Xenopus tropicalis: one gene and its partner. The main gene of each other region encodes a partner of the protein of the gene in region 2 in a complex. Links are inferred from orthologs where the notes say so. Each region holds a gene or a part of one and is shown on either strand. Other genes may lie near its edges. The genes, in order: ralgapb and ralgapa1.

Region 1 (4,313 bases), on a different chromosome or scaffold from region 2:
GGATAATGTGACCCCCTACTGTAAATGATAAGGATATTAGCAGTCACTGAGGGGTTCTGTGCCCATATAAAGGCACAAGGCTGCAGGCTGAGTTATACAGGGAACTCTGAGTATCACTCATGTATTATAAGGGATAATGTACCCCCTACTGTAAATGATAAGGATATTAGAAGTCACTGAGGGGTTCTGTGCCCATATAAAGGCACAAGGCTGCAGGCTGAGTTATACAGGGAACTCTGAGTATCACTCATGTATTATAAGGGATAATGTACCCCCTACTGTAAATGATAAGGATATTAGCAGTCACTGAGGGGTTCTGTGCCCATATAAAGGCACAAAGCTGTAGGCGGAGTGCTTTGATACAGGTTAAGTCGTAATTTTCATACAGGGGGGCAAGACAAAGCCACAACAACAAAGTGATAGCTTGATGCACACATGCCCATCCGGGTCACAGAAGTCCAACCTTTAATGGCACCTTTGACCCAAGCAATGCCAGCCTGCAATACCTGGTAACACAGATAAGTAATTTGCTACGTCTAAGCGTCGATTGAAAATCTGTTCCTAATCCCGTACAAAAATAATACAGCCATGCATGGATCCCATTGCTCTGCAAATCTGTGCCATCCCCATAGAGACCTTCCTATTAATGCCAGCGCCTAAGGCAGCGTGGCACCCGGGGACAGAGTTTATCAGATGCCAAATACACTGCTTTCTATTGATATGGGAGCAATTTCTTGCCCTTAATTGAGGTAAACCTGAAATTTCAGCATCATTAGCACCATTATCCCTCAGCTGTACTAAATATGAGCACCTCCCACTTTTTTAAAAAATATATATTTGATTGGTTAGTTAATTGGACTCTAAATGCTTTCATACTACATGGCATGAACTATAAACAGTTAAAATAAACACTAACCTATTTAGTGTGCCTGGTTGCTAAGGTCACTGATCCTAGCAACCTATTGAAATGCTCCTTTACTTGGACTAAAGTATTGGGAAAAGGTGATAAGATACATCTTATCTGACCTTGTATGAGGGGTCATTGGCCAACAGGATGCAGCGTGGCCCTTACTTCACTCACACTTCCCCTGTAATCCATCTAAATGGAGCAGACACCCTGCTCAGGGCTAATAGGAAAAGGGATAAACTGGCAACCAGCAATGTAATCATTTAGCATGGTTTGTTGCTAAGAGATGAGAATTGGCCCCTGAAAACAGGTTCTATGGGGGTACCTAGGATGTCCCCTCCCCAGTATAGTCCTGCTACAGAAGCAGCAGGGGGAGGCAACTGACAAAACTAGAGAAATATCACCCCAGAGTTGTAACCTATCCAACTAGCCCTGGTCAACTGCAATTGAACTAAATTTAAGGATGATTACACACAGAGCTACTTAGTAGCAGCTACTTGTCACGGCTACTAAAAGCCAGAAAATCCCCTGCCATAGACAATACTGAGAATAGCCTCTTCTAAAACACACGTAGAGACAGTTAACAGTAAATGATCAGCATTGTCTATTTCTGTAGCCGCAACAAATAGCTGCTACTAGTAGCTCCGTGTGTCTTCAACCTAATGGTGTGTACTCAATATCAACTGTGAGCATCTGTATTACATGCACCGAGTATGATAATATTATGTTCTTACAGGAAATGATTGGCAAATCCGCTGCTTTATGGTGAAAACACACGGAGCTACTAGTAGCAGCTACTTATAGTGGCTACTAAAATAGACAATGCTGATCATTTACTGATAACTGTCTCAACATGTGTTTTAGCGGAGGCAATGCTCAGTATTGTCCATGGCAGCGGATTTTTTGGCTTTTAGTAGCCGTGAAAAAGTAGCTGCTACTAGTAGCTCTGTGTGTCTTCACCCTTAAGGAATACATTTTAGTAACATGCAACATTTTTTATCTCCCTGAGTAAAATGCTTGGGCCCAAAGTCAGGGGCCTTCTTCCACCAATGAAGTTACGTTGTGCAATCAGACACTTGTTTCTAGAGCAAATGGGACTATATCAGGGATGGCCAATTCATCTTAGGAAGTGATTAGCCTTCGTTACTCATTATCCCCAACTACCGTCGTGTTTCCAGTCCGCATAAATGGCATTTTAATTCAAATGTGCCCATTACGGTGGCAACTATATCTACACGCTGTAGTGCCTAACAGCCACAGCTCACACTGGAGACACACTGATCAACTAACATGCCAGCCCCAGTGGCTGTGGGGGGAAGCGCTGGGCTAGGGTGACCTGATCACTTGAAAATTGAGGGACACGTTTAAAAAATCCAGCTAGCAGGGCTCACCTGATTGCAGTTTATTTCAAATGCAATCAGTGCTGCCCTGCAACAGGTATTCATTAGATGTGTCCCTGAATTTTCAAGTGATTTTCAAGGCCCGAGTAGCCGGATAAATACAAAACCCAAAGGCTAGTAAAGTTTTCTGTAAATAAAATTCCTGTGGAAACCAGAACTATTTATGTTCTCTGCCCTGCTGGTTCTGACTTCTGAAACAATGTAGCAAGTAAACTACCTTCTGGAACACTGTTTCAAGGGTGGGACCCGGGAAAGGGATAAACAAACACCGCCTGCCATGACATTTACACACAACTTTAAAACCACTAAAATGTTTTGACATTTCCGTTGACTACACACAAACCAGTGTCAGGGTGCAGATGCCCTTAAAGTTGGTTAAACTTCATCTCTCAGCATTCAACAGTCGGAGGATAATGTTAGAGAATGGAGGGGTCCCACACAGCGCACCCCTAGATTACTAAGAATGCTCATAGCATTGCAGTGTCACTAGTGCCCCACTAACTAGACCCAAGGCTTTGGCACAGCCCCCACCCTCATTCCCTCCTAGGCAGCAGCTGTCACCTCACCAGTTGTTGGGGCTGCCCATGCAGCACTCGCTTCCCAAGTTCCCCCTTCACATCAGCGCCAATTCTTCCTTAGGCCCCGCTGAAAATACCGCTTCCGCAACAAGCAGGGCGGATCATGCACAGCATAAGCAAGATGGCCGGCCTATACATCCAGTCTAGTGACAACATTGCATCCGCTACCCTATTGGTCAGAGCCTGACATCCGCAGACGGACAACCAATCATCTTTACTCCTAAGCCGTGACGTCTACAGAAAAAAAACTAACAAAATACGCGCGGCCAGACGGAGGCTTGGAACGCAGCTTGTTGACAGGAGTGAGGAAGCTGCGCATGCGTAGTTTGGCTGCGGGTGTCTGACTGACTGGGTAATATTTCTGAGGGAAATACAATTAAACTCCTCTTTAATAATAATAGTATAAAGTTCCACTATACACAAAAAAAAATGTCTGCACGGTTAAGATAAAATAGTATGGAATATTATACGTGCTAAAGTGCAGGAATTTCATATGTTTAATCATCTTTGTTAATTTGTATTTTTACATTTTCATGAAGACAAATATTAGTATAATAAGTATCATTTTTGCCCCTCCAACGCACATTGTGGTGCATATTTGCTCACGTCTAATCTTGCCATTTGTATCTATTTGTTAATATCTTGCGTTCTTTGGCCATTGACTATTTTTCTCCTCAAGTTTGAGCATTCCTGTGATTTACTAAAAGCATTTTTTATCATTTTCTCAGGGTTTTTAGAGTGTTCGCCTGCCTGAAGGTTGGGATAAACCAGTATAACCCAGTGACAAAATTGGTTTTCCTTCAATGTCCTGCCAAATGGAATGCAACACTTGGAGCAACTGAGAAAAAACTGCTGCCATTAGGCTGATGCCACACGTGGCGTTTTTACACTGCGTATTTTCTCAGCCTAAAAACGCCGCACAAGCCACACAGCCCCTGACTATGGCGTTTTTCAGCCTAGTACTGGTGACGTAGCAAATCCCGTTTCCATGGTGCTAATAGTGCGAAATAGTAAAAAACGCCGCGTATTTCCGCTAGGTCTGGCAGCTGCCTTTGTGTATACATAGGAATAGCTTGCTGTGCAAATACTGGCGTATTTCGGAAAACGCTTGAAAAATCCGCGGTAAGGCGTTTTCTAGCGTATTTCCGCATTGTGTGGTTTGCTTTGCGTCTTTTCAAGTTATTTCTATGGATGATGATATCAGGCGTTTTTCAGCCGCCGAGAGAATTAGAAAATACGCAGCGTAAAAACGCCACGTGTGGCATCAGCCTTAATAGTAAACTGCTTAAACAAGTGATATTTTTGAAACAGGGAGAGAGAAATTTTTCATTAATTTGCTCCCAAATGTCAATTTTCCCATAATATTTCCCATAAAATGTCCACTTTGCCCTATAAGGGCTGTTTTAATTAATGGGCAAAAGGACCATC
Region 2 (2,671 bases):
AATAATGAGGTATGTTAATATGAAAGCACTGATAGGACAGGTATTATGGGTACTGTGGGTTATCGTTGTTAAAAACAAAGCTTAAAATGATATGTAGTGTTTTTACTTGTAGCTCACAATTTGGCTTGCAGGCAGGATAGAGCAATATAATGGAAAGCAAAGTATTTGTGAAAAATGTAGTTTCTAGAGCTATAAAGATGCACTAACTGTAACTGTGCAAGAAAAGCAGCCATATTACAGCCACACATGGAGGCTACACACTGGAACTGCCTCTGATAATGGCGCTCTAGTGGTTTGCTCTCCTCTCAGGAAGGACAAGTAAAGCAGCAGGAACTTTTAATGAGCAGATTTGAATAGAATAAGATGCACGTTCTGTATAGTTTCTATAGAAGACATGGTGCTCGGTATCAGTGCTCTAACAGCAAGCGTGACAAGATACAGTTTACACTCTTAAAAGAAAACAAAGACACATAATAAGGAAAACAGGAATCAATAGAGACAATGCAGGGAGTTACATGATTGGAACATAGAAGAACAATCCATGTGAAATGATATCAGACCAGTATCCCGTAGGTCGTTTGGGCCCCACTAGAGAAGAAGCCGTTGGAAACGGGTTTGAGTCCATGACTTTAGAAGCACTCAGGCCTGAAGGCCAATTTACAGAGGGTCATTCATGGTCTTGAAGGGCAACATTAATTACTGGATTCATGCCTTCTATAATACAGCAATGCTTTGTTGCCAAGGCACAGACCATTGAGCACATACAAGGCCATGTGTAACACAATTCATTTACATGCAATGATAATGTCATATAATAACTCAATTGGCATATTAAAAAAACAACAATAAAACCTCAAATAATATTTTGGTGAAGTGGAATGATCCTTATTTAAAGGGATACAAGCAAAGACACCTCTCGGGACCCCGGCTTATCTGCTAATGAGAAGCACTAACACATTCTGCTAAAAAAAAAAAAATCCATCTTCTTCTCAATGCAACCCCTGCGCTAAAGAACACCTTGGTTTTTTTTTAAATAAAATCAGGCCTGTGAAAGAAATATATATATTATATATATAAAACAAATAATACATGTATAAAAATAGTGAGTTGCTGTGCTACATTTATCTTTAATCTGGAATCTCTTTAGGTTTCATTGTACCAAAAAGCCATAGACATATTTATACAAGAGATCTTTCAAAATCAGATCATGATCAGTGAAACAACAGTTTAGATCTATGTTTCATTTCTGTGTTGACCCAGAGAAAACGGGTTAAAAAAAAAAGAGGAAAATAAGCCTCTGGTAATAATAATATAGTGAATAAATATACAACATGGAGAACACAAAAATGGCATAGCTACAAGAGCTCACTGAATGTTCGCTTTTCAGGCATCATTTCAGCCTTTTAAAGACCCAGTAATAGAGGATTAAAAGCTGCAAAGATATACATATGGCACCCTGCATTGTAAAGAATTAAAAACACAGGTATCAGGCTAAAATATTAAATAAGGTCTAAAAGTCCAGTGTTGTTCACTCAAATAAAATGTGGAAAAACTAGCATAAAAACACAGGAAGTATAAAGTCTGGAGTGAATTTCGAGTGCCTGAACTTGTCCTAAAATGGCACCGCCAGTGATTGGAGACACTCAGACTATGAAGTGAAGACTCAGGTTTTGTTGGCAGAGCCAGAGGAACGCCGGAGCTTTATGGACATGCGACTTTTGCTGCTCCGTGGTGACAAAGAAAAAGCCAGTTCTGATCCATCCCCCGGAGGCGATACGTTCTCATCTTGCTCTTTCGTTGGGCAAGGCCCTGGCCAATGACACGGGAGAACAAAGGTAGGTCTCACATGTTCCTCACATGTTGCAGATACACTATAAACACTGAACAAAATTCTAACGTGATTTTAAATCATTAGGGAGAGTGCCATACGTGGGCAGATTGTAGCTGCCAATTTGGCTCCTTCAGTCAGAGTTGACAGCTTATGTGCCCATGTATAGGGCCCTCTGCTGGGCCTACATAACTGATATCTGGCTGTAGGGTCAAACAATTGGATCTGACATCAAGGTGGGCATATTGGGGAAACACCTTACTAAACAAGCAGATATGTGGCCAGCTTTATACTATCATATTAGGAAAGTCACACGTCTTAATGGTGTTCCACATAGAAATATGAATAAAATAGCTCTGGCCATGCTCAGTAATAGAATATGGCATCCTCAATATCCCCACTGTGTGCCACAGGCCTTAAACCAATTTTCTTCCCTTCATGCAAAAAGTTGATGCCATAATATTCCATGAGGTACAATTTACTTAATGTTTAGCAATGGTGCAATTTGCCATGCTCTTTGCTCATAATGCAGGCATTGGTCACGCAGACTGGAATCAGGCAGCAATGAGATCAGCAGGAAGAAGGCAAATAACTGTTTGCTATAGACATGGGGCTGAATGGGCCATGCTGGGCAACACCAACGTGCATACACAATGATTTGTCATGTGGTGGTTCGTACAAAGCAAATTAGTATTAGCCATACACCAGTTACAAGCAGTACACAAGGTGCGGTGCTGAGAGATCTTTTAGTGTGTGTATTGCCCAATATTCATGCAGTGATTTACAGACAGAAAAGGAAAGGATAAAAGGCAGGTGCTGAATCTCACGGAAGGAGACGGGCAG

Evidence for each region.
Region 1: ralgapa1 (region 2) and ralgapb share a complex: the UniProt entries of both Homo sapiens proteins name them as parts of the heterodimeric RalGAP1 complex. The link is inferred for Xenopus tropicalis from reciprocal best matches to the Homo sapiens genes RALGAPA1 and RALGAPB.

Annotation. Positions count from the first base shown.
Region 1 is NC_030686.2:42,224,828-42,229,140, reverse strand, and holds the start of ralgapb (ral GTPase-activating protein subunit beta), read right to left. Parts: upstream 3,041-4,313; 5' UTR 2,874-3,040; intron 1-2,873. UniProt on the Homo sapiens protein: Non-catalytic subunit of the heterodimeric RalGAP1 and RalGAP2 complexes which act as GTPase activators for the Ras-like small GTPases RALA and RALB.
Region 2 is NC_030684.2:108,151,885-108,154,555, forward strand, and holds part of ralgapa1 (ral GTPase-activating protein subunit alpha-1), read right to left. Parts: intron 1,810-2,671; coding exon 1,664-1,809; 3' UTR 1-1,663. UniProt on the Homo sapiens protein: Catalytic subunit of the heterodimeric RalGAP1 complex which acts as a GTPase activator for the Ras-like small GTPases RALA and RALB.